4 linked regions of the Schizosaccharomyces pombe genome follow. The gene in region 2 interacts genetically with the main gene of each other region. Each region holds a gene or a part of one and is shown on either strand. Other genes may lie near its edges.

Region 1 (7,749 bases), on a different chromosome or scaffold from region 2:
ACCCTTGCCAGGGAAGACTACCTCGAAGGAAATACATGAAAACGTGTCCCATGGATTCTAAATCATCTCTTCGTGATTGCTCACGACCAAGATGTGTGTTGATAGACATATAACGTGCAGTACCAGATAGACTCTTATGTTCATTATACGGTCTATGAACATGAGTTTTTGGATCTCGATATTGCTTAGCCATGCCAAAATCGACGGCATAGATAACGTTTTCGGTTTTGCTTCCAGGGAACCCGATTAAAAAATTATCTGGTTTAATGTCACGATAAATAAAATGTCTCTCATGAACAGATTGAATACGGGTGATCTGATTAACCCTGTTAAAATGTAATCACATAAAGCCAATCCGACAACAATCGGATAGACGTTTACAAACTTACCATTTGTTTTGCAATCATGGCAACGGTTTTAGGACTAAAACGTCTGCCACAATAATCAAAAAGGTCCTCTAAACTAGGTCCTAGAAGATCCATGACCAAAAGGTTGTACATGCCTTCTTGACCGTAATAATACACGCTCGGAATTCCAGCTAGGGATAAATGTTAGGAAATTGACGAAAATCAGTATAGCAACCATAGTGAATACTTACGCAAACCCATTAGTAGCTTATAAGTAAGGTATTCATCACGAAGTTGAGGAACCTCGCTTTTTCTGGACTCCTGTGAGAATGCAACGTTAGTACTGAAATTGAGAATCTGGATTGCTCTCTAAAAATAATTACATACAAATTTTAGGGCAATTGGCTGATTATTGATTAAATTTACACCTTGAAATAACATGCCAAAAGATCCTTCTCCAATCTTTTTACCAACGCGGTAATGAACACCAACGACGTTGGAGTGAGACGAAGTAGTTGACATGATGGTCTTTTAAATATTCCACTATGTTAAATGCAGTTTTCTTTAAAATGTTTTTGATTAAAAGAGCGTTCCGGTTTGTTAAATGTTGATGTCTTTCGCACTCGAAAGTTAAAGATGGTTACGGGTAGAAAAATGAAGTAGATGCCGCTAAAATCCACAAAGATTCCATGAAAAACACAAAGAAAGTGACAGTTCAATTATTTCGTTTACAGTTGACAACCTCAGAGGAATCCGAGGCAGCCAACACTGTACTTGGTAGTGGACAAGTAAGCAGTACTGGGTTTTCCACCGATATACCAAGCTAGCGTAGTATAAGGTTGGAAAGCTGAAAATAGATATAATGGTATACTTTCTAGTTTGAGTTAGTGGTAAACAAAATTTTATTTTAGATTCATTAGCTAACAAAATTGACAATGATCAAGGGACTCGGATGAAACCTATCTAACCAAAATTCTTTTATTATCTAATGGGTTTGTATGATTAAGATAAAGGTTAAATCGTATCGCAACTTAAACACATACTAATATAGCAAGTATTTAAATTAGTTTTTGTAAGATAATGATCCAACTTTACGCTTTCACGATTAAGTACTTTGGTAACTTCAGTCACATCTCCAAAGCGAGCGGGTGGGTAAATAGAAATGAGATTTTGAGGATCATATCCTTCAAACTTACAAGAAGAAAGCGAACCAGGTCGGATAAGTCCTTCATGAAAAAGTCCGTTTATGGTCACAGCCTCTAGAGTCCGATATAGTGCTGACATTCGGAATTGGGTTTCTATAATTGCATCGTTTTTACCCTGGGTATCCAAAACTTGGATCCAGTTGTCATGTAAAACAGCTCGTCTCCAAATGGTATTTTCATAAAATCTCTTGGCATCGTCCGTTAATCTGGTGGTTAAAAGAAGACGCAAAGCAAGATAATAGTCGGTAACTTCACCTTCTACAAGGTCCTCTCGACGGTATAAAGAAAAGCTGAGGTACTCCAACAGTTCAGTTGCTTCAACCACCTGTCCGGCAATGAACTTTTTGACTACGCGCTGCATAACCTGACGAGCGATAACAGGCGCTACCTTGGCACCAATCAAATCATCCACAACAGCTTCTACAAGCTGGTATTTTTTCCCCTGAGAACGAAGCCGTTCAACGACTGGCATAACACTTTTGGAAACCATTTTTTGAATATGTAGTTGCTCAAGCTTTTGTTCCACTAAAACCAAATCTCTGATATTTCCAGAGTTGGATGGAACTGCATAAAGAAATAATTTACTTAATGAAAGCTCAGATTCCTTTTTATCAACCAGCTTTTCTTGTTTAGTAGCCAACTGTAGCAATCTATGCGACGCAGCATCGTAGTCTCCTAACCTCATATCATGCATCCATGAAATCTGGTTGTAATCTCGAGATTTAAAAAATTGTTTCAAATAAGATTTGTTGAACCTGTCGCTATTAAGCAACTCTAATGCCATGCCATTTTCAACAAAATAGTCATATAATATAAATGCGAATTTTATACCAAAAAGATCAAGGTAATTGTTTAGTGCATCCGTGAGCTCATTGTCCTCATAAAGTTGATAGCACAATTCTACTAAAGAACGATAGTCTGAGTATTTTTCAGCGATTCGAATGGCACTGCTGCCTTTACCTATATCTGATAAAGTTTGAACCCAAAATCTGCGATTAACTGCAAAAGCTTCCTTGACATCTTGAATTTCACTAGCATCCTTACCACAACGTTGTTCTATCCATCTAATCCTTTCTGAGTACGCGTCAAAGCAAACCTCTGTCAAGGCCACTAATTGTACTTCTAAATTTGAAACGACATTTCTTAGCACCCCTTTATCCTTTATTTTAAAAGTATTCTCCACATCCGAGGTTCCTTGATGTGACTGGACAAGCGCTGACCGAGTAAGTTCAAACTGTCGACACAGCAAAACTAAAGTTTCTGGCGTTGACGTCCAAGGAACCTCTTCTCCAAAGGTATCAATACTTAGCTTATAAATCTTCTGGGACTCACGGCGATAAGCCAAAGCCGAAGATTGAATTGCCAGAATTACTTCATTAGCTTCCATAATTACATCAAGAACTTCCAATGGAAGTTCTTGAACTCGAGAACCTGAATCTATGCAAAATTCATGTGCTTGCGCTATCAGTTGATCAATGCTTTCAATATTATGCAAAAACCACTCTCTCAAAGCGTTATCCGACGAAGCACTTTGAGTGAGTCTATAAATTATGCGTTGAAAAATTAGGGAATGACTAACAGTACTAAATTCAGTATCGATAGTATTCCATAAATATCTAACAGAATTGCATTTTTCGCCCATTACTCTCAACTTGTATAGTACTTGACGATCAACATCCAGTGACATAGACCTAATATACCGGACAAGATTATTCAAAGAATTTAACCTACAGGACAGATGCTGCATTAAAGAAGCAAATAATGGGGGTAAATGAGTAGACCTTGAATTCAAGATGTCCATTCCAAGATCGACAATAATCCTTTCGAGTTCAGGCTTTTTGATGGAGCGAAGGTAATTGCAGGAAAAATCGATCGGATTACCAGGAAGGAAGGAGTAAAAAACAGCTTCTTCCAACTTGCTTTTTACGAGAGATTCGTTATTTGCAGGATGCTCCAAACTATGAACTTCTATTTCAGCGATACCAGAATAAGGGGTTGCTATAAAACATGATTCCGTAGGAATAGAGTATTTTCCTAAAACGTATTTGTAGCAAGTAGACATAAATATGCCGCCAGAGACATTAGTATTCATACGAATAACCTCTTCCCATGATGTTCTCGATACAATATCTTTATCATCCTCTTGGACGTGCACTATAATAACAGCGTCTGTTAAAACCACAAATAAAGAATTCCCTGATGATGAATAATGTAGCTTTGAAGACTCAAGAGATTTAGAAGAAAATGAATACAATGGATGAATATTCATTACCGAGGGTGAGGAAATGTCAGAAAAATCAAGAGAAATAATCATGTAACGGTAATTAATAGAATTTTTCCAACATACTAAAAAACTCACTAGATTTCCGTTTGTGGGGCATATAGTAAGGTCTAACACCTCAAGTCCGCTTGCATCGGGGCATCCTTCTCTCAAAACCTGCTTAAAAATAGGAGACAGATTCATACCAGAAACAAGCTTATTTTCCAACTTCAAATCATATATCTCTAGTAAACCAGATGCCTCAGCGACATACAAAAGATGTTGGTATGGAGAGAACAGTGGTGGGGATTTTAAAGCAATGATATGAATGCTAGGGTAGTTAAAAATCTTCATTTTCTGAAGAATAGTAGAAAAAGTACTAATATCGGAAGCAAATAATTGTACAGAAACGTCAGGTTGACCTGCAGGATCGCGCAGTTGAACAGAAAAAAGACGACCAAAATTGGTAGATATGATGAACTTCATGGGGTTTGAGCAACATAAATGCTCACATTTTTCTTTGGGGAGTAACTTTATCAAACTTTCCATTCCCTGGGGACATATATAAGATTGAGCGAGAGCATTCCCAATTGAAGTCCAATATGCTATACGACCAGAGATAGGCATTACAATCAGCAATCCAGGTTCTTTGTCAGAAGCATCAGAAGGGACGAAGGCTGTCAAGGCATTTTGCCCGGAAAAGCCATTTGAGTCCTCTTCAGGTAGCGGAAATGTTATAGTTGGAGGTTCTGCTGTTCCCAAGCTTTGACGATACGACAAAATAAAGCAAGCTTTTCGGGAATTAATTAATGCATAACCGATGTCTGTGTAGCATGATCCACTTAAAGGATGGTCTAAATTGAATAGAGATGTTAGTTACCTAGTAATGCGCACAGTGAAGAAATAAAAGCTTCGTACCGTTGATAATTTTAGAATTAAAATGTTTAAGTAGACACGAGACCTTGAAATTTTTAGATCTGAGCCAATCCAATGAATTATTATAGGCAGTGCTATCCAAAAGCGATTTCTCAACAGAAATTCGTTTCAAAGGGCTAAAAGATACGACTTCTTCATTTTTCCTTTTACCAAGGATAGAACTCATGACTATTTGACGATATCAGTACTGATACTGGCGGTTATCGTCTATTTGACTCCTTAATACCCTTAGGGATAGAATATGGCTCTGAGAAGGACGAATGTCGACGATTCCTACAAAGAAGGGTTTGAAATCAAAAGAACTTTACTTAGACTCCTATTTTTTACTCAGAATTAAATAGTTAAGCTACTGATAAGAAATTCAGAGTAAAATCAATATATCAATATTTCAAAATCGGTGTATATGTCATATACACTTTTTTCACAAATGTCAACACAGTTTGCTCTTTTGTAATTAATTATTTCTTTGCTTTGGTATATTTAAGGAAGTGATACTTAGGATATTGTCTTTTCCCGGAATGTTGTATAAAACAGAGGTTTTTAAAAAGTAGTTGCGTTCTTCAAGGTCAAGCTTAAACTACTTTTTTAGAACGCATGATCAATTTATATAAATGTTTCATGATTCCGTATTTGAATTTTTTTTATGAGCACGCCAATGGTTGGAAACATCAGATTTCTTCGTAAAATCGCACATCTGGTACAGAAAACTATAAAAGTAGTAGAAAGTTTGGGACTGGGTTGGAAACAACTGTAATAAAGAGAAAAACGCGAAAATACTTTATTTTGAAGTGTCTGAACTGCCGAATCGGAAAGCTATTTTTCATTAGTGTTGTAAATTATCCGAAGGACTGAAAAAGACCAAATTTTACAAGAAAAATAAAATTATTGTATTTTAAGATTTACTTTTGTGATCAATATTCAGGCTAATATCACTTAAGAGTTAAAAAGTTATCTAACTTGATGGCACGAATAAAAAAAATTTTTACTCAGGAAGAATTAAAACAAATCCCCTGTCCATATGATCACAAGCATACAATTGTGCGACATCGTTTAGAATATCATTTGAAGCGTTGTAACGCGCGTCCTGTTGAAAGGACCGATCCATATTACAAGAAGGACATAAATATCTCTACTTCAACAGATGCTTCAGAATCTTCCTCCTTTGAAATCGTCGATTTAAGCAAGGAAGAGTTGTCAAAATGGATTTGTTTGTTCAACAGAATTAGTGATTCTTTACCGACTCCTCAAAAAAAGGTGTTGTTTCACCCGGCAATGAATGCAAGACTGTATGTACGAAGTGCTTTCTCATTAGCTTTTTATTAAGAAGATGGTTGCAAAAGTAGAAACTAACTTCATTTTTAACAGTGAAGAGGGTACAAAAAAAAAGCATGCAATTCAGCAGGTATGTTCGACATGATTTCTTAACGGCAGTCAAAAGCATTAACCATTTTAGGCATCATTGTTAGGACATATGGAAAAACTACATTATTTTGACAACCAAGGATCTATATATTACGAATTCGGTGCTGGAAGAGCCGAGTTATCAAGATATGTTCAGCACTGCTCCCAACAAGAAAACGTATATATACTTATTGATCGTGATTCAAATCGAACGAAGCATGATAGCAGGATATTAAAAGATAGCATCAAAAATAACTGGCCTGAGCCAAAAATTATAAGGTGTAAAATTGATATTAAGGATTTGAAACTCGATTTTTTTGCTAGTGAATTTCGGAATAGTGGTAAACCTGTATTTGCATATTCTAAGCATTTATGTGGTGCTGCCACAGACCTTACCTTGAATTGCTTAAAGTCCTCCCCTCCTAATGCTCTTGTAATTGCCCTTTGTTGTCATCATCATTGCCGATGGAGAACACTTTCAACCTTTGCTAGAGAACAATTAAGTCATTGGGGAATTTCAAATCCACAAGAGTTTCAAATATTACGACAGATGACTGGGTGGGCTGTAAACAGTTTGCGTGAGCATATGCATGCTTCTGGAGGAGCCGACTCACACATCAGTGGTCTTTCTCATGAGGAACGCGTAAAAATTGGGTTGAAGTGCAAGCATATTATCAATTACATGAGAAAATTAGAATGCGAAAAAATGGGTTATGAATCTTCTCTCGTATACTACGTTGGTGAAGAAACGACTTTAGAAAATGTTGCACTCATCGCTTATAAACGAATCAACTAAGTGAATTTCCTTACGTGAGAAAAGTAAGAAAATTTTTTAAATTTGAAAAGATTGCACTCAAAAAAACTAGAATTATTTTGTACTTTTTTGAAGTGTGAGATTGCATATAGCAATCTGATAGTTAAAGCAAATTTTACTTTTTTTTAGCAATCATGATTTCTCTTGAAGTTGGAATTGTTTGGAATATGTAAATTTTGATAGACATTATTTCCTCTTACTTAAAATTAAAAAACTTCCTAACTAGTTAAACTCGGAAATTGTGCAATATTTAAATAATAAAAACTATTTTTTTTAAAAAGTATAAAATTAACAACATTAATAAATAATATGGAATATGTATGAAGGTTTCATATTCAACTTTCTACCTTCTTCAATTCCAGTCTTTGACCACCGCATAGCAATATCGCAAAAATGTCGAAAATTCGCATTTTAGTAGGAGTCAAGCGAACTCTAGACTATATGTTAAAGCCTCGCATCAATGCCACTAAGACTGCTGTTGATTTATCGGGGCAAAAAATGAGTGTATGTTGAAAGGAGAGTAATCATTTCAGTACTGCTGTAATTCGCAATTTATATTTGACTAATCGTGAAAAGATTAATCCATTTTGTGATATTGCTGTAGAAGAGGCTATAAGGATGAAGGAAACTTTGAAAAATAGAATTGAGGACACTTTAGTAGTGACCGCAGGACAAACTTCTTCTGAGCCCATTCTTCGCCAGTGTCTTGCTAAAGGAATTGGCCGAGCAGCACTTATAAATGTTGGCGAAAAAGAACTTGAACCTCTTTCAGTAGCCAAACTTTTG
Region 2 (5,988 bases):
CCTTGTATCCAAACATAGCTTTTTTAAACAGCAGTTTGAGATAATGTCTTTCTAGCACAACATGTATACTCGTTTAATGACATATATTTAGAAAGAATCATTAGATTGTTTACAGTTGTAACTCAATATTAGTCAATCTAGAATTTTTTTGAAAATCAACATTCAATAGGGAGAAGGTCGAAAAGAAAAGAAAAAGTTCATTCTCGAATTAAACAAATGCATTTTATTTTCCATCAGATTAACTTATGTCAACAATTGTAAATTCAAAAGTCTGTCGCCTTTACCTTCGCACACTTTCTCTACGTAAAAATTATAAGAATGCGAATTCTAAGTTGGAATGTGAACGGTATACAGAATCCATTCAATTATTTTCCATGGAATAAAAAAAATTCCTACAAAGAGATATTTCAAGAGTTACAGGCTGATGTAATATGTGTTCAAGAATTGAAAATGCAGAAAGACAGCTTTCCTCAACAATATGCAGTTGTTGAGGGATTCGACAGTTATTTTACATTTCCTAAGATCAGAAAAGGCTATAGTGGGGTTGGATTTTATGTAAAAAAAGATGTTGCTATTCCAGTGAAAGCAGAAGAGGGAATTACTGGCATCCTGCCAGTACGAGGACAAAAATATTCATATTCAGAAGCACCGGAGCATGAAAAGATAGGATTTTTCCCAAAAGACATTGACAGAAAAACTGCTAATTGGATTGATAGTGAAGGAAGGTGTATATTATTAGATTTTCAGATGTTCATCCTAATCGGTGTTTACTGTCCAGTAAACTCTGGAGAAAATAGACTAGAATATCGACGGGCCTTTTATAAAGCCTTACGAGAAAGAATTGAAAGATTGATAAAGGAAGGAAATCGAAAAATCATTCTCGTTGGGGATGTGAATATTTTGTGTAATCCTATTGACACTGCTGATCAAAAAGACATTATTCGAGAGAGTCTTATTCCAAGCATCATGGAATCAAGACAATGGATACGTGATTTATTACTACCAAGCAGGTTGGGACTACTGTTGGACATTGGCCGTATTCAACATCCTACTCGGAAAGGAATGTTTACATGTTGGAATACAAGACTTAATACAAGGCCCACAAATTATGGTAAGTTCTGAATTGTTATTTTTTTTACAATGGATAGGTACGAGAATTGATTACACTTTGGCAACACCCGATTTATTACCTTGGGTTCAAGATGCAGATATTATGGCTGAGGTCATGGGTTCAGATCATTGCCCCGTATATTTAGATTTAAAAGAAGAATATGAAGGAAAAAAGTTGTCCAACTTTCTAAGTCACTCAAAAGAACCACCTTTACTATCAACGGCGCATCATTCAGCCTATCGGCCATCAAAAAATATTCATTCAATGTTCCAACATTTCAATTCGATGAAAAAGAATAAAAACAACTCACCCACTCAGAGCGAAAACGTATCTGCTTCTGCGTCCAGCGGCTCCTCACCAACTGTTTCTCGTGCAAACTCTGTCATAGACGTCGATGCCTACCCACCGGAAAAGAGAAGACGAAAAGAACAATCGAAGCTTCTTTCATTTTTTGCGAAGCAAAAGGAAGAGAAAGAAGAAACCAATAAAACAGAAGACGTTTCGATTGAGGTCCTTGATAACAATAATGAATCTGACATAGGGTTGACAGTAAAAAAAAAAGTAGAAAACGGGAACGCCTGGAAGCAAATATTCAGTGAACGAGCTCCTCCACTTTGTGAGGGTCACAAGGAACCTTGCAAGTATTTGACAGTGAGGAAGCCGGGAATCAATTACGGGCGGAAGTTTTGGATTTGTGCCAGACCGGTTGGTGAACTGATTAAAAACTCAAATGCAGTTTCTGAGGAAGATACTCAACCGTTCCAATGCAGGTTCTTTATCTGGGACTCAGATTGGAGAGCAAATTCAAAGGACTGAAAATTTGTAATGACTAGCATAACTTGCTCTTAATCAATTCTCAATTTTGATGTGTATAAACCGCAAAAAGCATTGAGCAGTGCATCACACATCTTTCATTAACATTCTTAATATGTATATACGGAATTTTGTACGGTTAAGATTTCTTTTTTTGAGATCCGAGCATCATTTCCAAACATATAACTTTGTTTGGATGTACTTTTCTTCTGCACACCGGACATTTTTGTGTGGCAGCCGTTGTACCTAAAGCACTTAGTATACAAAAATTGCAAAATATATGCCCACAGGGAGTACAAGATAGGTTTTCCGGACTATCCAGACAAATTACACACTTATAATCAGCTAGTCGTTGTGAAGATGGAACAACCTGTTTTTTGCTAGGTTCTTCTTTTTCAATTTCGGCGTTGGTGGTCGATGGGTTCTTTCCCTGTTCAAATTTTTGTTTTCTTGGATCATAGGAAGTCTCATCAGTTAAATCAATCATATCGCTTATAGTAGTAGGTTGCGCGTGAATACTATTAACATTTGTTAAACTGTTTTCAACGGAAGCTGGATGATTGTTGTAGGTGAATCTTTGATTTATGTCATCAGCATCATTCTGAAAATTAATGTCTTCCAAGTCGAATACTTCACTTTCCACATCTATGTTTAAATCAGAGGTTTCAACAGGTAGTGTTTCTTCTTGTGCTAGCTCCGAAGCAACCTCTCTTAGCGACCTTGGTGCACGATTCAGTGGTAAAGACTCATTCTCAGAGGTAGTGCCTGAAGGATAGTCTGTTGCATCTTCTGAAACCGGAAATCCGTTTCCTGGCGAATTCTCTACTGGAGAAGAACGTCTCCTATTTATTGCTGCATTTCCAGCTGCGACTCTAGCGGATTGAGATGGGATATTGTATGGTGCAGATAAGTTTCTAACGTTGGTATCTCTCTTATGTGCGGGTGGCATTTTTTTGCCAATTGGTCCTGAAATTCGAAAATAGTTTATAGATTATTGATTAATGGGCTAATATTAGGATAATTTTGATCGTATCCTAATCGATTGTCAAATGCTTTTCAGGCTTGCTAGAATAATAAAAGAGAATTGTGTTAACGTCAATATACGCAAACAGCAATTATTTTGGCAACTTGCCAACAAGTTTAAAATTAAATTTAGTAGACCTATGATTTTTGAAGTCTACATGGAAAAATTGGCTCACTACCACAATGTTGTAAGATGCTAGTCTAATTAATATTTATGACCTTTTTCATGAGCACATTCAATAGCGCAAGCGGTATTTCAAATAAGAAAAGAGAACAGAAAAGCTGGTAAAACTTAATTGTGTATCAATAATCTTTTCAATGCAGTTCATTAAACTGCGCAACCGACATTATTATGAGTATTCCATAAACTATGCAAAAATGTATTATGGAGTGCATTAAGGAATGCTAAAATAAAAAAACGATAACAATGTATATCGCTATTTCTTTTCCAAATTGTTGAATATTAGAGGAGTGTATATACTTAGCATCAACCAACGCCTTTTTTTTAATCTAGGTCTGGGTAGACGCAATGGTCAAAAGCTATACGCGGTACGAACCAACCGAATTTTTTGGTGTCATTGCGTCTTCGGGATGTAATATTCTCGGTCAACCCTCTTCGTCTGCTAAATCTGTAGGCAGAGCCATTGTTGGCGGTCTTGAGTCTGTTTTGGAATGGGATTTAAAGACTGGGCAATTACTATCAAAATGGAAGGATTCTGATTGTTCGGCAAAAGTTACTTGTATTGCAAACTTTGATGAAATGTACGCTGTGGGCTATGCAGATGGTTCTATACGTCTTTGGAAAGATGGAGAGCTCTTAATAACTCTTAATGGTCATAAAAGTGCTGTTACTACCATGGATTTTGATAAAATGGGCACAAGATTGGCCAGTGGAAGCATGGATACCGACATTATTGTATGGGATATTGTAGCTGAAACCGGCTTGTTTAGACTACGTGGACACAAGGACCAAATTACCAAGCTTTTGTTCATTACACCTCCTTCGAAGAATACAGCTGAAGAAACAGTGGTGGACACAGATATTGATTCCGGCGACATGGACGTTGACAGTAAATCGTCTGATTCGTTTCTTTTGTCTGTTGGCAAAGATTCTTTTATGAAGCTTTGGGATTTGTCTATTCAGCATTGCGTTGAGACTCATGTCGACCACCAAGGCGAAATTTGGGCTATGTGTGTTTCACCAGACGCCAAACGGTGCCTCACTGCTGGTACCGGTTCTGATGTTAAAGTTTGGGAAATCAGTTTTCCAGATGACAATAATTTCACTCCAACTACTAAAGCATTTCAGCAATTAGGTACCTTTACCCGTCAAAGCCGTGACCGTCCCATCACCTTGGCTTACGACGTTTCAAACCGTTATGTTGTATTCCAAGCTCATGACCGTCTTCTGGAGGTTTTTCGCCTTCGATCAAGTGCGGAGCTCGAAAAGATTCTGAATCGACGACGCCGTCGTAAAAAGTCTGAGGACGTTTCGATCACGTTAAAAGACGAATATGAACCTTTTGCTCTAATTCGAACCACTGCTCGTGCTTCGTCTGTAGCTTGGATACCAGGAAATCGTACACCTACGTTGGTAACATCTCTTCAAAATAACTCAATTGAAGTTTACGCTTTGGATGTCAAATCTGAAGGTTCTGCTGCACCATTAACTGAACGGGCTTCGCGTATAAGTGCCATTGAAATTCCTGGTCATCGTGCTGACGTTCGTACCTTGGCTTTGTCCGCTAATCACGATGTGATTTTAAGCGGTGCTAACGGCTCTTTGAAGCTTTGGAACAAGAAAACCACATCTTGTATCCGTACAATCGAATGTGGTTATGTACTTGCTGCTAGCTTTATAAATAACGACAAGTGTATCGTATCCGCTTACAAATCAGGAGAACTTGAAGTCTATGACATTGCTAGCTCTTCTCTTATCGAACGTATCCAAGCTCACGATGGCGCGATTTGGGATTTAGCGGTTGGTCACGATGGCACTTACTTCGCGACTGCCTCTGCCGATCACACAGTCAAACTCTGGTCTCTAAAATCGTCTTTTGATTTCGTACCAGGTACCACTAGAAAAGTCACCACGTTGAAATTAGAGCAAACACGACAAATAGATTTCACAGACGATGTCCTTGCGGTTAAAATTTCACCTGATGGTCGTTTCGTTGCTGCTTCACTATTAGATAATACCGTCAAGGTATACTATTTGGATTCGTTGAAATTCTTTTTAAATCTTTATGGTCATAAGCTTCCAGTTCTCTCTATGGATATTTCTTATGACTCAAAGTTGCTGGTTACTTGCAGTGCCGACAAGAATGTCAAAATATGGGGTCTTGATTTTGGCGATTGCCACAAGTCTATATTTGCACATCAAGATTCTATTATGGAAGTCACATTTCAACCAGATACTTACAACTTTTTTACTTGTTCAAAAGATCGAGAAGTTCGTTATTGGGACGGTAAATCATTTGATCTAATTTTAAAACTTCGCGGTCATCACTCTGAAGTCTGGGCATTAGCTGTTGGTCCAACTTTTGTTGTTTCTGGCTCCCATGACCATTCAATACGTTTATGGGAACAAGGTGACGATTTGGTATTTCTAGAAGAAGAACGGGAACGTGAGCTTGAGGAGCAATATGAGTCAACGCTTGTTTCATCTTATGAAAATGCTGAAGCCGACGGAGAGGTTAAAGACGGAGACGTGGCAGCTGTCACGAAGCAAACAATTGAAAGCTTAAAAGACGGAGAAAAGATCTTAGAAGCTATTACAATAGGTATAGAGGATTTGGATCAAGAAATTCAGTACAGACTTGATCTGCTTAAGAGCCCTGGTAAAGCCCGTGGACCGAGAAATCCGATATTAGCCCATTTAGGTGTTTCAGCTGAGGAGTACGTTTTGAATACTTTCAAAAAAATTCGTAGTAGCCACTTAGATGACGCTCTTCTCGTGCTTCCTTTTGAGCACGTCTTATCCCTTTTTCGATTTATTGATATTTGGGCTAGTAGAAAATGGTCAATTCCTCTCGTTTCTC
Region 3 (7,575 bases), on a different chromosome or scaffold from region 2:
CTAGTAGCAATACAGCTTTACACACCGCTGTTCGTTATAACAGGCCGGAATGTGTTAAAATGTTACTCAAACTTGGAGCAAACCCTAGCGCAAGGGATTTTTTGAATTCATGGACTCCTTTGATGCTTGCATCAGCTACTGGACTTTCCGAAATTGTTTCAATTTTAGTTGCCTCGGGCGCTTCGGTTGACGAAGTTGATTCTTCAGGTTGGACTGCTATGGAACAAGCTGTGGTTCGGGGGTATTTACACCTAGCAGATAAACTTAGAACTCAAGTCGCCTTGAGTGATAAGCCTGTTAATTTACATACACTTTATATCAAAGCCTCAAGTTCCGAAATGAGGAGCAGAAAACGTGCCATGGATTTACAATTATCTCGTTCAGTGGTCATTATTCGAATCAGTGATTTGGCCGGTAGAATCCGCGTTAGTCTTCAAGGTGATGATGCTGTGTATGTTTCAGGGCGGTCTCCATCTTTTGCCGCAAGTAGACCATCTTCAGTAGATTTCATGTCTCAATCTACTGACTCGTTGAGTAAAAACGACACTACTGCTTCTAATGGCTCTATGACACCATCTTCTAGCCAAAACAACTCAGTGATTATTGATATCCCTCGCTCCCATTTTGATAATGCCGGTGAAGTTTGCTTAGAGAATTTGGCGGAGCCTGATGAAATTGCCGACGACTCTATTCATTTGCATTATGATGCCGCACAAGAAAATAGTCCGCAACCTGTAAACGGGTCTTCTCCACCGTATGAATTGGTTTTCGTTACAAGAAATACAGAAGAAGCAACTATTACAATTGATTTGTTAGCAAATCGATCCCATAAAATATTAGGGAGAACTGTATGTTGCTTGACTTCTCTGGTATCTGATTTGGGGAATCATATGCAGTCGTTGAAACCTTTGGCACCCTTACCATTACTTTCGAGTAAAACTCTTAAACCAATAGCTCATGTTAATGCGGATGTTCTTATTTCTAAGGTGACAGTTGATGATAGATTTTCGTCAAATGATGGCATAAGTACCCCTGCCTTATCGCTGGAAGCAGTTTCCAACGTAAGTCGCACTGCATTGGAAGACGCTGAGCGTTCTTTACACAAATCTGCCACAACTACATCAGAATCAGGGAAATCGAATGGTGTTGCGGTTATCGGACATCGTGGACTTGGTAAGAATCAGCCTGATCGTTTGAGTCTTCAACTTGGCGAGAACACTTTACAATCGTTTATAAAAGCGGCAGATCTTGGTGCTTCTTACGTTGAATTAGATGTGCAAATGACTAAAGACATGGTCCCAGTGGTATACCATGATTTTATCGTAAACGAAACCGGAACGGATGCACAAGTGCATTCGCTGACTTTGGAGCAATTCTTAGGGGCTTCCCACTCTCCTTCAGAAGAAATTAAAGATGATGCAAGTGACATTCAGCAGAAGAGACGTCCTAGGGCCTACAGTTCCTCATTTACACCTTCAGGATCACAGGTTAATTTCGGTGAATTTGCTGAAGAAAACGCACGTTTGAAGCCTAAAGTATATAAGGGTAATGCCCTTGGTCATACGATTTGTGCACCGTTCACAACTTTAAAGGATGTTTTGAAGGAAGTTCCACAATCCGTAGGACTTAATGTGGAATTTAAGTACCCCATGCTAAGTGAAGCTGAGGAAGAGAAATTGCTCCCTATAGCTTATGATTATAACTTTTACGTGGATACCATTCTATCGATAATCAAAAAGTATGGTGGTAAAAGAAAGTATATTTTCTCTAGTTTTAATCCTGATATATGCATCTTACTTTCTTTGAAATCGACTAATCCTGTTCTTTTTTTGACTGAAGGAGGTACCGCTTACCGAACAGACGTTCGTGCAGCATCGCTTAGACAAGCTTTAAAGTTTGCCTCACAGTGGAGTTTTCTGGGTATCGTTAGTGCTTGTGAACCGCTCATTATGTGCCCGAGGCTGATCAAGGCAGTTAAACAATTGGGTTTATCTTGCTACACCTATGGTGTTCTCAATAATGATGTTGACAATGTCCGACGCCAAGTACGTTTTGGAGTTGATGCTGTCATTGTAGACAATGTGTTAGCCATTAGACGTGCCTTGAACCAGTACGATGAAAGTTTGGAATCTGATTGATCTAGAAAGTTTGAACGAATACTACCGACGATATAGAAGATGAGGTGCTTTAGTTAGAAACCGATATTAGTTAATTTTTAGTTAGAAGAAAGTATATCATAAGAAAATTTCATAGATAGAAAAAAAAAGGAAAAAATATCATGATAACAATTAATGAAATACAAATAATGACCGATCACTATGGTGCATCACTGGATGCTTCTTTACATAAGAAAGTGTTATATATACGGCGCGATAAAACCGGACCTAAATTTCGTTCACTAATACTAGATTGGATGACAACGTTGGTTAATGATTCCTCGCCGTGAGTTTTTAGATGATGAATTAAAGATGGTATACTGTCAAATTGATCGCATATGGCGTTAGCAATGTTAGGTGTAACTCGTAGTATTTGCCGCAACATAAAATTTAGAGAGTTTTCAATTCTATCGGCGGATTTGACATGTCCTATTTCGGTAGTAGAGGCTCTAGCTGAAAATTTAGAAAAGTGCTTGTAACGAGATAAAGCTATGTCGCCGGTAAAGGAAACTATCCATTGAGCGGTTTCTTTTTCGTCATTTGAAGTGTTTATAAGAATACTATGTTCGAAACTGAAGCGGACGATTTCACTCTCTAACTTTTCTTTAGTAAAGTTTTGATATTTTGATAAAGAACCAAATAACAAAGGTCTGGTACCGCTATTAACAGCTGCTGCATATTGACGATTTAATTCTGCTTTCAGAGATTTAAAATAGTTTGGGATGCCTTCCAGCAACAGTATTAGCTTACAGCCTTTAAACTTTTCAGACATTTCATGAAAAAAAGTATCAGCTTGGTCCTCTTCGATGTATTTTATAAAATCCCGGCATTTCAACCGTAGTAGGGCAAAAGGTTCGATTTGTTCATGCTCTATGCTAAGTTCAAACCGGTTGGTAGAAGAATTAAACACATTGTTTACCTTCCTTTTCCACATAATTGAGTCTTTTGGTTGATTTGAATTGACAACGAATTGGCAGTTGTATGAATCTAATTGAGAGCGAACAGTTGAATACCAAGATGAAGCCCAATCATCCGGCGATAAAAGAATTATCTCAGATAGGCATTCTTCTTTGGTTCTCTTAACTTTGTTAATTTTTTGAAGTTCCTTTGAATTCTTTCTGTCCAATTCTTTCGCCATCTTTCTATTCAAGCTGTCAACCTTATCTAAAGTTTTTGATTTTTTCAAAGAATCTTCGTAACGTTTCCTCTTACGTTGTGTATTAGAGTCTAGCTCGTACGGTTCCAAGCTCCTAGAGCATAATTTTCTCATTTTTTTTAATTTATCCAAATTTTTTTTATTTGAATTTGAAGTAGAGGCAGGAGGCGTATCGGTAGTCCTTGAAATTTTGGGTAGTCTCATTTTTTTAAAAGCTCTACTTTGAATGGAAAGTTTGTTTAGAGAAGGAAGTTCTTGAAAACTATCTTCCTGACTAGTATTGGGTTCAATTGAAGAATGCTTGGATGGAGAGGTCGGGCTATCTAAGTGCACATCAGATGTGAGATTGAAAGTTCTTTCTTGATTTTCTACGGAGGTTTTGGAACGGTTATTGATGAGGTCGATTGTATTGGAGCTGTCTTGGTTAGGAAATAAATTAGGCGTAGAAGGGGCATGTGATAATCGATTAGAAGTAGGACTAGCGATGGATGGCATGCATGGCTTTAGTATAGAGGATGAGGATGTTAGTGCATCGTTGAAAGATTTTGTTTTTGTTAGCGGACTCTGGGTAAATGGGAAATGATCGTCATCATTCGTGTCCAGTAGTATATCGTGAAGGGAGTGGGATTTTTGAAGGACTGTGGAGAGCGGCGGGGAGGACTGGAAATCTTTTAAGGGTGAAGAAGTCAAAGAAGCAGCTTTTTTAGATAAAGGGGAAGCCACTTGTTCATTGTCGTCGGGAATAACGATGGGAGAGGAGGTTTTCGATGACAATTGTGTAGTCCTAGGAATGGTGGGAGTATGGAATAAATGAAATTCTTGGTGTTTTGGTTGCGAGGAAAGGGAATTAGGGGGAGAAGAGTTTAAATTAATGATTTCGACGCGTGAAGAAGGATTTAAATTCGTGTTTGTTGACTGGTTTGAAGAAGTTAAAGAGAGCAAAAGATTATCGGTAACCGACTTTTTATTAGTGATATTAAGGGCATCACGGGGACTAGGGAGAACATCTTCGGAGCCGGAAACTAAAGGAGTACTGACCCCAAATGAACGATTAGCGAGATGTGGAAGAAAAGTGTGGAAAGGAAGGAAATGCTGGCAACAATATTTGTCAACTTACCTGAAACTTTTTAGCAAACTATCGCATTGAGTAGATCTTTGAGGAGTATCAAGAACAGTTATAACATTGTGTTCTGACAAAGCAATATTGTCCTAAAAAGAGGGTTAAAAAAAAAGCGAACAGAAAGAAAGGGAAATACGCGACAAACCTTGGAAGGAGAAGCTTGTGAGCTTGAAATGTCAACATCAGCTTCAGAATCGATCACAATAGCGGAATCTGTAGACTGCAGAGTCATTCAATGCATGTGTAGTGTTTGTTTTCCGAACAATAGAGGGTTTGGTGGTTAGGACAGGTAGGGCAAAGTGTACACAAGGAGCCGGCAGGGAACGAGAGTTGGTGACAGAAATAGAGCGAAAAGAAATGAGAAAAAAAAAAAAAAGTTTGAAGTAAAAAATTTAGATAGGAATGGTATTAAAGAGTTTGAATAATTAAAAAGATTGGAGGTTTGCGTGGATGTTTGAGGATATTTGGTATGGAAAGTATAGAGAGTAGTAGGTTTGTTTACATATAAGTATATATAGGTTAGGTGAGAGATGGGTAAAAAATGGAGAAGAGAAATGGATGCAGGAGGAGTTTAGATAAGATGAATAGTATAAAAAAAGGAAAATATTTATTCTTTTAGAAGTAGTTGAAAGGATGTCGTTTTGTGTTTGAGAATTGAAGATTATTGAAATCAATGAGTGGGATGGGTGAGTATTTCTTTTGCAAATACTGTGGTTTAGTGTGTCATTTTGAAAGAATTTTAGGTAGAAGGGCGATACGGTATTTAGGGACTTTGGTAGTACGTTAGAAAGTGTAAAAAGATTGAATAAAATAAAAATTTCAAAGAAAAGAAAATCAATTAATTTAACCAAAATTAAAATAAATTCAATTCAAATTCAATAGAATAAAATACTCTAATATTTAAAGCTCAATAGTATAAAAATAAAAATAAAAATGTACTAGAGTTTCTTTTTCATTAGTCTGTTTCATCAATGATGGTAAACAAAAAAATAAAATAAAATAAAATAAAACAAAATAAAAATGAAAATGAAAATGAAAAATCCTTTGATGCAATGTTTCCAAATGGGTTTATGCTTACTTTTTTTTTGTATTCTTTAATTGATCAACGATACAATGAATGATGAGTAAAAACTTTTTTTGTTTTTACCATGAATACATTGTTTTTCTTTTTTTTTCGGGGGGGGGGGGGGGGGGGCTTTTTTTTCCTTACTCTTCTTTGTCTCTTTTTAAAATTTTCTTTTTCTATTTAATTTAATTTTACTTTTCATTGCAAAATCAATTCTACTTATTAGTTCGCAGTTTAAAACATTTTTTCATTGCGATCTGTGAATTTTGCAACCAAACAAAGAAAGCAGAAAGGCAAGGGTGTAGAGTATAGTAGAGCAGATCAAAGCAAAGCAAAGTAAAGAGAGAGAGAAACCAATATTCGCAAACTGAAATTTCTCCTTTTTTAAGAGGACCAACGAGTTGTGCGAAATTTCCAAATTATTCATAGTAAATTCAACTGCATTATACAAGTATAATCAATACACACTACTATCTTTTATCATTCTTCACTAAACAATCATTAGTAGAGTACGAAAGTCATCGCTACATTTTACTTGTGACCAAGCCAAACCTTTTTTCCTTATAGTCAAGACAGTGTGTATCAAGGCAGCGTATGTGAATAGCAACAGCGTATGTATATGTGTGTGTATCATTGTTCGCTATAGCTTTTTTCTCTTAGTGTCAACGTGTGAGTGTGATAAGTTGTATTTTTACAACGGAAATCCTTTAAATAGACTCTTATACATGTTGATCCAGCAATAAGCCAAAAAAAGTGCAATACGTCAAAAATCGTAGTATTCGGCAAAACAATTGCATTCAGTATGTTTTGATTCTTAAGAGAAAATCTCTTTTTTTCTTTTTTTTTTTTTTTTAATTATAATTCTTGTTTCCTTTCTCGCCTCTCCTCTCTTCTCTCTTTTATCTTTTTCTCTTTTCACCCTATACTCCTTTTGCTACCACGACCATTGTTGCTTCGGTTACGCAGAGTTTATTTTCTTCGGATAGCAGGCGCACCTTTATCTTAACTCCGGGTTTAGTAGCCGGGAGGAATGGGAGAGATGGACGATCAGAGCTCCATCTAAAAAAGTAAAATGCAGCGTCCGATGGGCCGGAAGCGTTGCAGGTCTTTTCGTACGGAAGCATGAACACAGGAGATGAAGGAACATGAGCAAAAAACGAATGTAGACAAAGACAGCGATTCAAATAGAAATTGTATTTGCTATTACTATTACTATTTAACAGTTCTTTACTAAACTATCGCTATTTTATTGTTATCGCTATTGTCATTGTCATTGCTATACTGCTCTTTGTCTACTGGGGGCATCAAGGATCCTAACCCCCATTCTTCAAATCTCTGTCTGGGCTAGGGCAGGCACCAATAACTAGGATAAAGACTAAGACTAAGACTAAGACCAGATAATCCATCGAAGGATATAGCGTTGTATAGTGTGGTGTAATGCAATACGATGGATTCCAAGCTATCAGTCGGATCAAAGTTTTAGATGAGAGGAAGCGATGAAAAGAAAAGAAGAAAGAGAAGGAGAAAGAGAAAAACAAAAAGAAAAAGAAAAAGAAAATAAAATAAAACAAAAACAAAATAAACAAAATAATCCTTCTTACAACATCTTGAAATATTCTTTTGCACTCAGACAAATTTCTTTTACTTATCTTTTATTGGAATTATTTACTGAACATGTCTGATGCTCCCTGGTTTCTTGTCATTCATTACTGCATTTCTATACTATTCTATTCTATTGATCTTTCTTTTTCTCCCATTTTAAATGTTATTATACAATGCTTTTCTTCAATTTACTTTTTTTCTTCTCTTTCATTTTTTCTTTCTCTTCCTTTTTTCTCTTCTCTTGCTGCGTTTCTCTGTTTACTTTTGCGCTCGCCTGCTGCTTCTGCCTCGTCTCCCCTCTGAGTCACATGTCACCCGATCCAAAGTTGAAATTTGCATTGTAGCGGCTTTTGCACGCTGCTTTTCCGAGGATCAGGGCTATCGAGCCTGAACCAACATGGTCGGATTGATTGGCCCGTGGAAAATATTGACTCTTTCGTGATTGGTGGGCTAACGTAATTGATTATCTTGATCG
Region 4 (8,635 bases), on a different chromosome or scaffold from region 2:
CAAATCCATTATTGAGCAGAAACGATGAAATCAGCTCGTTTAGAAATTCTTGACGCTGTTTTAACTCTTCCTGCTTTGGTGACTTAGTTGCCTGTTCAAATAATTTGTTTTTCTCCATTTGAATAGCATAATCAATGTCGTAAAGAAATGGGTTCTGTCCGAAATTAACCTCAACATGTTCACCATGACTTTTCAATCCGATAACAGGGTACAAAACGTCGCTGACTTTCTTAAATGCTACACCCAAATAGGCACCATTTTTGGTGTAGAAAATTGTCCTGTTGATAAAATTAACTCCACAGCCTATAATGTCACCAGTGGTAAATTCAGGTCCATAAGCTTCACCCGTTTTAGAGCAATTAAATTTCTCACCACTGTTTCCGTGGTATCCCCAGCTTTCTGCTGTACAACCTGGAAGCCTATTAGTTTGCATGCTCTTCCGACAAAATCCAACACCCATTTTTCCCTCTTTTCCTCGAGATAAAATTTGAATTTCATAATAGTAGATAGAAGTGTTTGATGGAATTGCATGATCAGCTTTTACAGACGCCGCATCATGTTCAGTGCCGGCTTCAGGACCTATTAAAGATTAGTTATAAACCATTATAATTAATACAACGAACCAAAGAAATAAACCCCCATGTTGTTATTCATCAATTCTAATGAATCTGACTTATCGTTGGGATTCCATGAAGATGGAATGGCTTTCGGCGTATTTGTTACATTGCCCTCCCTTGTCATGTCAAACTCTCGTAAATACTTCTCCCATTTCAGCCATCGTGGGTCACTTCTAAGCACATTTTCTCCGTAATTGGTTCCTTGTAAATACAAGGGGAGATTGTCGAAGTTAATCGGCTGTTTTTCAAGATTCTTTGGTGTACTAGTCATTCGCAGGTATGCTCTTGGTAGCATATAAACAGCCAGTTTTAGTAGCTTATTCAGCTATCAGTTTAAATGTTCAATTTTCTAATCAGTTTTTCTTTTGTAATTAAATACAAATCTTTTGTAATAATAATTGGTAAAACTCTTAAATTTTTAAATGACGTGTAAATTTCAGCAACTCTATAAAATGCTCTGAGACTGAAAAGATACTTCACTATACGGCTTCATAAGGATTAAAGGCTCAAAATTAGAAATACAAATATTAGGCTGTATATACAGTCCTATTACTAATCAGAAAAAAATTCAGGCACAACATAACATTGATACTTGTCTTGCGATAATACATAACACAATGACATTGAGAATCAATAATAATAAAATAGTATTATAATCTAACGGAAAGCTAAAAAAACGACTGCATTAACGGAATGCATTAAACAAGAATAGCTTTAATCGAGCATCATAATAACAACTTCAACTTCTGGAACTAAATAATGATAGACGGTCCTTAAAAAACCATTCGGTGGTTTTCAGGAGGTTGTGGCATTGCATGAAGGAATTGCTTAATCGATGAGATGAAATAATTTCAACTTCCATTATCAATGAAGAAAGTTTAACTAAAGACATTTTTTCAAGCATTGAATAGGAAAAGAAAATCCATATGACTAAACAGAAATGAAAATGAGTATGAAATAGACCGGCCTAACTAAATTTCATCGATTTCTTTATATCTCTGCATTAAAAGACGTTTGTACTCGATAGGGTCTTTACTCCACAATTCTGCAGCTCTAAGAATTGTTAATAATCAAAAAAGGTAAATGAGATATTTTCAACATACTGAGCATTCAAGGGAGAAGCATTGTTTGGCTCACCCAGCAGACTTTGTAGAGATAACAAAATTGTCTGTACGTTATAGACTGCTGACCATTTATCTTTTAAAATGTCTAAACATATGTTTCCACTCATATCGACATTGGGGTGCCACATTGGTGAAGTAAAAATGATAGTTGGAGGGGAATATGGGTAATTAGCTGGAAATGACATTGAAATTTTAAATTTCAATCCTTCATAGTACTATTTTCGTTACGTTAGTCGTATGAAAAAGAAGAAAGAAGAGTAGACAGTTATGAAAATGTAATGACAAAGATGTGTATTAATTTTCCATTAAAGTGCAGCTACAAGTAAGCACACCAAGCATTATTCATATACTTTAAATATTAAGCTTTCAAAATAAAAGTCATACCGTATCGCTTGGGCCGGTAATTGTGCCAGCCCAATGTAGCAGGTTAGAATCAGAATCTGGAAACGCACTAATTCCAGGAGTATTGGACATCTAGTCATAAAACCCTAGTTAATAACAAAGTAAAAAAGCTTATTACAAACCATTAAACTCATTAATTCGCTTCTCAATCTACAAATGCATTAGAGACTTTTTTCCTAAAAACTGTTTATTTTTTACCGTTTTGTAACGCTATGACCGTCAACAGCCATGCCAGCAGAAGAAGAGTTTTTAGAATTAGTATGAGGGTTCTGGTTTTGCATATCAGAATCCATTCCTCAAGTTGTTACTGTAGTTTCTCAATGAGTACGTGGTGGTAGGAGAGTAAGTTATAAACACAACACAACATGTGCTAATGTACACAAGTAAACGAAAACCGGATATCAAATTATAGTCCAATTTTATATCATTATATAGATTTAAAACTCATTTAAAAATTACCTTAATTTAATCTTTTCCAGTCTTTGATGATGTTAAGACTGTAAATAATACACATGCCAAAATTTGCAACATATGCTTGTGTTATATTATAATCTTCTTTCCCTTTACACCAAAGAATGGCTCAAAAATTAGATAACTTTCCTTACCATATTGGTAGAGAAATAGGTACTGGGGCTTTTGCTTCGTATGAATTTTGATTTGAAAAATACTATATACTAACTTAAGCAAGCGTCCGTTTATGTTACGATGATAATGCTAAAATATATGCTGTCAAATTTGTCAATAAAAAACATGCTACTAGTTGTATGAATGCAGGGGTATGGGCTAGAAGGATGGCTAGTGAAATACAACTTCACAAACTATGCAATGGACATAAAAATATCATTCATTTTTATAATACAGCAGAAAATCCCCAATGGAGATGGGTAGTACTTGAATTTGCTCAAGGTGGTGACTTATTTGACAAAATAGGTGGGTGCATGAACCTTTCGTTTTTACTAACGGACTTACAATTTAGAGCCTGATGTAGGTATTGATGAGGACGTCGCTCAGTTTTATTTTGCTCAACTTATGGAAGGTATTTCCTTCATGCACTCTAAAGGTGTCGCGCATCGAGACTTGAAACCTGAGAACATCCTTTTAGATTACAATGGTAACTTAAAGATTTCAGACTTCGGCTTTGCATCTTTATTTTCCTATAAAGGTAAAAGTAGGCTTTTGAATAGTCCAGTGGGTAGTCCACCATACGCTGCTCCAGAAATTACACAGCAGTATGATGGTTCAAAAGTTGATGTCTGGTCCTGCGGTATAATTCTTTTTGCTTTGTTATTAGGCAACACACCTTGGGATGAAGCAATTAGCAACACTGGTGACTACTTGCTTTATAAAAAACAATGTGAACGCCCGTCTTACCACCCATGGAACTTGTTGTCTCCAGGAGCCTATTGTAAGTCCTGACTGAAATTCCTTTAAACTAATGATCAGCGATTATCACCGGAATGCTTCGAAGTGATCCATTTAAGCGCTACTCTGTCAAACATGTTGTACAGCACCCATGGCTTACCTCAAGTACACCATTTCGAACTAAAAATGGGAATTGTGCCGATCCTGTAGCATTGGCATCAAGGCTCATGTTGAAACTTCGTATTGATTTAGATAAACCACGTCTTGCCTCATCTAGAGCATCTCAAAAGTAAGATCTTGCACAGTTGTTTCATATTTCTAACTCTTTCAATTAGCGATAGCGGTTTTTCAATGACACAGCCAGCTTTTAAAAAAAATGACCAAAAGGAGTTGGATCGTGTAGAAGTTTATGGCGCCTTATCCCAGCCAGTACAACTTAATAAAAATATTGACGTTACTGAAATCCTTGAAAAAGACCCCTCATTGAGTCAGTTTTGTGAGAATGAAGGTTTTATTAAAAGATTGGTATTATTTATTTAAACCTAAATTTTTTCTAACTATATGAAAAAGGCCAAAAAGGCTAAGAATTTCTACGAAATTTGTCCTCCTGAAAGACTCACTAGGTTTTATTCTAGGGCGTCGAGAGAAACCATTATAGATCATCTTTATGACAGTCTACGACTACTTGCAATCTCAGTGACTATGAAATATGTTCGAAATCAGACCATCCTTTATGTTAATTTACATGATAAACGGAAATGTCTCTTGCAAGGTGTTATTGAACTAACTAATTTAGGCCATAACTTAGAGCTTATAAACTTTATAAAGCGTAATGGGGATCCTCTTGAATGGAGAAAATTTTTTAAAGTATGTCTTTATCATAGGGATTTCATATACTAATCCATGTGAAAGAACGTTGTCAGTTCAATAGGGAAGCCGATTGTTCTTACAGATGTTTCACAAAATTAATTGCACATCTTTTGAAAGGTCGTGCCAGTTCGTTTGTAAAAGAAACCTGTTGTTTGACTTCGTTGTGAATTTATTTTCAATTTTGTGGTAGTACAAATGATATCCTAGGGAATAGGATTATTAACGCTTTGTCAAGCAAATATCAATGGTTGCGAATGCTGAAGATATATTATTAGCATAAGGATAGTTCTTCCGACTGGCCATGCCGTTTAATACATCATTGTACCCAATATTCTTTTCTCACAATTCTTTCTTCTTTTTCTCTTTTTTAGTGAGATATCTGACGGCTCATTTGATTTTAAAAGGGATAACTCTTCTGAAATAACTCTTTCAAACGATTCTAAAAGGTCTTCATTTTCTTGGTCGGAGTATAAAAACTCATCTTCTTTACAAAATAGTAAAAGGTTCTTTTTTGTGAATTCTTGTCTCTCTTTGGCTTCCAGGTAAGCATGCAAAGGAAAATGTGACATCGATGAACCAGTACTTATCAATGTAGTTATCCATAAAATATCGTCTGGAGTCTCTGCAGACATTAACATGTCTTCTCTTGTAGCCTCATCTACTTTTAAAAACTTCTTTCCGTGAAGTACTTCGGGAAGCTCTAAGAAACAGTTAAAGCCCTCACACACGATATGTAGCCAGCGATGATTTTCAGTAACAACGTATATATCCGAAGATTCAATTAAATGCATCCGGATGTCTCCTATTCTCTTTTCGGCTGCTACTTTGTGAACAGGTGTTAGTTCTCCTAAACTCACCTTTTCATTCACTAGTCGTTCTAATGCTTTCCATAGATATGTTTGGTGAGCAGGAGGATAAAGATCATATAGCATTAGCTGATGAGTTAATACCTTGATGTCCATTATCCCTTTAGACAACTTTAAGTGAAGCCTTTTAATACAGCTGTTCTTGTTTACAAGTGATAGCATATTTTCAAGGCAGCTATTAGTTATTTGAGGTTTCACTAATGTTTTTGATGTTCCATTTTTAGTATCGAAGACATTCATCAAGTTTTTATCTTCGTGCTCAAAGATGGTAATAGTTACTGTAGGTGGAAAAAAGGCTTTACTCTTGAATTGAACATCTTCGATACATATATCTAGGTTATCACAAAAGAAGTTTACCCAAGGAATTTCAGTAGAGCACATGTCTGATACTTGGGCAAATTTGCAAAAGCTTGGGGTAATAACCTTTTGGTCACTGAAAAGAAACTTTGTGCATTGCTGTGACAAGTCGAGGACCCTTTCATTATCTTTTTTTTCTTTTATTGTAGCCTGTTCGTTTCTAGAGCTTTTGGATTCGAGTACACTTTCATATTTCAATTCAGAATCATATATTGGCGATACTTCACTGGAAGCGATGAGGTCGGAATATATAATCTGTGTTTCTTCTAGGTCGGGAAATTCGGTAAAATCTTTTACTCCTTCTATTATGGCTTGTTCATTTTCAAAGCACTTAGATTCGAGTATATTTTCAATTGCTAATTCAGAATCATATATCGGCGATATTTCACTTAAAGTCGTGGATTCGGGATATAAAATCTGTGAAGATAGTGATAAGTCAGAAAGCTCAGAGCTCTGTTTTATATCTTTTAATTCAGCATTTTCTGAGTGGTTCGGTTTGTGGGTACCTTTAGGTGCTGATTTGGAATTATTAATTGGCGCCAATTTGCTCAAGGTTGTAAATCTACAGCTTAGAAGCTGTGGATACCGAGGCTTAAATATATCTTTATCTCCCGTATTGCTTTCTTTCAATAGTGCCCTCTTCGGTTGAGTTAAATGCGAAAATGCCTTTGTTGCTTTTATTGCGGATGTAACCTGACTAATGGAAGAATTTTCGTTAAATTTTTCAGGTTTTGTTTGGTATTTACGAGCTGCCAAATGTAATTTGATGTTACTATTCGTTGAAGATGATATTGATTCCTTTTTATTGTATGCAGCATTCCAGTATTGGGATAAACTTTTAAACGGCGAGCTATTAATAGTTGAAAGTTTCGTCTGGAGTTCTGATTCCATAAAAGAGGTGCCGCCCAATTGCAGTATACAAGCTATGAATGTTATTGGCTTGCTTACGCCGAGCTTGTCGAAAAGGTTATTAGCCTTTGAAGGATTTTGGTTTGAAGACTTATTTTCCTGTTGACTTAAGAAGCCTTCTTCATTTTTTTTTTTTAAAGTATAATTGTTCTCTATTGATTTTGGCTCAACTTGGGGTTCTAATGGCATTTCTGCCATGCTTTCATCGTTATCAGAACCCATACAGCAGAGAGGAGCGCAAATTTTTAGGATCTTTGATTTAAAACTTGTCCAAGAGCTACCAGAGCAGTGAGTATCACATCGGTTACTTTTTCCCTTTTCCTGTATTTTATCAGGACGAAAGGCACCTGATATTTTAATCTCTGGATAAGCAATTTTACTGTTCATTACGAAGTTACTTGGCTCTTTTGAGGCTTGAGTGATTGCCAGTTGGATAACTCAGTAATTAGAGATCGTGTTCAATCTCTTGAAGTGTATACAAAGGTTGGGTAAAACATGTTCAACCTTGGGTTATTTATATTAAAAAACAATTCATTTCGTTTATATTAACACATTGTTTTATCATAACTAATAATTTATGAAATCCCTCACAATAAACAAACATCGAATGATAATTTGATGCTCACCTAACATTTGCTTAAAAAAGTGTTAAGTAAACATTTAATATTACTAAAAGATGATCATTTAAAAATAAAAGCTTTCGCTAACCATTTGCATCCTGGATAAATAGCTCAAATAACAAAGGATTTAGATTAACTGAATAGTAATAATATCCTTAGCTAAGCCTTTGAACTAAGCCTAAATAAACAACACCAATTACTCACTATTTACAATGGATGTTTGACTTGTAACCAATAAGGAGGCAAGATTTACTAAAGACAACCAAGTATAATGTTGTAAACAAAAATAATAAACAAATCAACATTGCTGCAATTATACATTCGAAAAGAATCATTTAACGCAATTCTGAGTTAAAGGAAAATAATGTGTAAATAAACAAACGAAAAAGAGTGGAATACTAGCAACTGTAAATAAACAGAAGTTATTTTTTAGTGATCGAATTATATTGTATTTATGTTGTCAAAAGTTATTGATTCATGAATACCCCCGAAAATATCTTTCTGAAGTAAAAATTTCAGAAAATAGAAAGTGTTTTATTTTCGTTCGTATGTTAGTACGAATATCAAATTTCCAGTTTCATATTGCGTGACCAACACATTATTTATTAAAAATTTTGGACAAGCCAGAACTCGAATCTGGGACCTCTTCCATGCTAAGGAAGCGTGATAACCATCTACACCACATGCCCATGGTTGATTTTTACTCTATGTTAGTCGATTATTACTTCCTTTACTATTTGCTATTATTCTTTTCCAACGCACTTTGATACTACCCACGCTTATCATAGTATACAAATATAACATACATACAAATACAACATACATACATATATGTATATATATATATATTTACTACCACTGCAAATAATTGTTACGCCTTTACTACTGTTGAGTTTTCCTCCGTTTTTTTATTTGTTTTTTCTATTGTTTTAAATTAATTATTAACTATCTTTCTTTTTAGTCCAAATACTCAAAAATACTTCAAACTAGCTTCATTAGTAACATTAACTAACTAAATTTTTTATTCAGTTTTTGTTTGTATATTTTTCAGCACTTAATATTTCTTAAGATAATTATTTTTACAGTTTCCCTCTTCTTTTTTTTTTTTATTTAAATCCGATGCGAAAATAATTAATTACAAACAACAGATAATTAGTAATTACACTTTTGAAAAAAATGAGAACTACAATGGAACAAGTAAATAAAAAAAAAAATTTAATCCAACCAAAATTGCTGATCTCATTTTATTTAAAAAAGTAAAAATGATTTCATTCCAAAAGAATCGTTAATTAATAAAGCAGATATAATTTCTTTTTTAAAAGTAAAAAAATTAAAAACTAAAAAACGATTGATCGTGCCAAGACTCGAACTTGGGACCGTCTGCGAACTGTAAATGTTAAGCAGAAATTATAACCATCTAAACCACACGACCAGATGTTAGCCTAACTCTTATTATATCTGGTATAAGCGTAGTTTAATAACTGGCTAATTGAGTAATGAAGAGCCAC

What was found.
Region 1: of slx8 (region 2) and nup132, a mutation in one rescues a mutant of the other (synthetic rescue), as found in Schizosaccharomyces pombe (2 studies listed by BioGRID).
Region 3: mutations in slx8 (region 2) and eme1 are lethal when combined (synthetic lethality), as found in Schizosaccharomyces pombe (one study listed by BioGRID).
Region 4: mutations in slx8 (region 2) and chk1 are lethal when combined (synthetic lethality), as found in Schizosaccharomyces pombe (one study listed by BioGRID).

What each region holds. Positions count from the first base shown.
Region 1 is NC_003424.3:2,774,536-2,782,284, reverse strand, and holds nup132 (nucleoporin, WD repeat Nup132), read right to left. Parts: upstream 4,998-7,749; 5' UTR 4,915-4,997; coding exon 4,731-4,914; exon of another isoform or gene 4,675-4,730; intron 4,667-4,674; coding exon 1,362-4,666; 3' UTR 1,232-1,361; downstream 1-1,231. Other genes in the region: serine/threonine protein kinase (CK1 family) Cki3, read right to left, coding at 1-316, 390-538, 599-668, 735-869; tRNA 2'-O-methyltransferase Trm13, read left to right, coding at 5,709-6,034, 6,114-6,150, 6,202-6,945; etf2 (electron transfer flavoprotein alpha subunit), read left to right, coding at 7,357-7,467, 7,540-7,749. UniProt on the Schizosaccharomyces pombe protein: Functions as a component of the nuclear pore complex (NPC).
Region 2 is NC_003423.3:1,287,088-1,293,075, forward strand, and holds slx8 (SUMO-targeted ubiquitin-protein ligase E3 Slx8), read right to left. Parts: upstream 3,125-5,988; 5' UTR 2,874-3,124; coding exon 2,064-2,873; 3' UTR 1,928-2,063; coding exon of another isoform or gene 1,149-1,927; 3' UTR 1,112-1,148; downstream 1-1,111. Other genes in the region: AP-endonuclease Apn2, read left to right, coding at 319-1,111, 1,149-1,927; U3 snoRNA associated protein Dip2, read left to right, coding at 3,477-5,988. UniProt on the Schizosaccharomyces pombe protein: Mediates ubiquitination and subsequent desumoylation/degradation of sumoylated proteins and proteins containing SUMO-like domains. Acts as a critical suppressor of gross chromosomal rearrangements (GCRs) during normal cell cycle progression.
Region 3 is NC_003424.3:3,295,204-3,302,778, forward strand, and holds eme1 (Holliday junction resolvase subunit Eme1), read right to left. Parts: upstream 4,711-7,575; 5' UTR 4,665-4,710; coding exon 4,578-4,664; exon of another isoform or gene 4,522-4,577; coding exon 4,430-4,521; exon of another isoform or gene 4,346-4,429; coding exon 2,317-4,345; 3' UTR 2,139-2,316; downstream 1-2,138. Other genes in the region: glycerophosphoryl diester phosphodiesterase Gde1, read left to right, coding at 1-2,138. UniProt on the Schizosaccharomyces pombe protein: Interacts with mus81 to form a DNA structure-specific endonuclease with substrate preference for branched DNA structures with a 5'-end at the branch nick. Typical substrates include 3'-flap structures, D-loops, replication forks and nicked Holliday junctions.
Region 4 is NC_003421.2:1,057,302-1,065,936, forward strand, and holds chk1 (protein kinase Chk1), read left to right. Parts: upstream 1-2,494; 5' UTR 2,495-2,718; coding exon 2,719-2,786; intron 2,787-2,831; coding exon 2,832-3,073; exon of another isoform or gene 3,074-3,119; coding exon 3,120-3,548; exon of another isoform or gene 3,549-3,586; coding exon 3,587-3,794; exon of another isoform or gene 3,795-3,840; coding exon 3,841-4,030; intron 4,031-4,075; coding exon 4,076-4,372; exon of another isoform or gene 4,373-4,417; coding exon 4,418-4,474; 3' UTR 4,475-4,683; coding exon of another isoform or gene 4,684-6,894; 3' UTR 6,895-7,142; downstream 7,143-8,635. Other genes in the region: gid1 (putative Ran GTPase binding protein), read right to left, coding at 1-579, 624-888; ubiquitin-conjugating enzyme E2-C Ubc11, read right to left, coding at 1,589-1,670, 1,721-1,956, 2,126-2,215, 2,266-2,293, 2,342-2,436; protein Meu27, read right to left, coding at 4,684-6,894.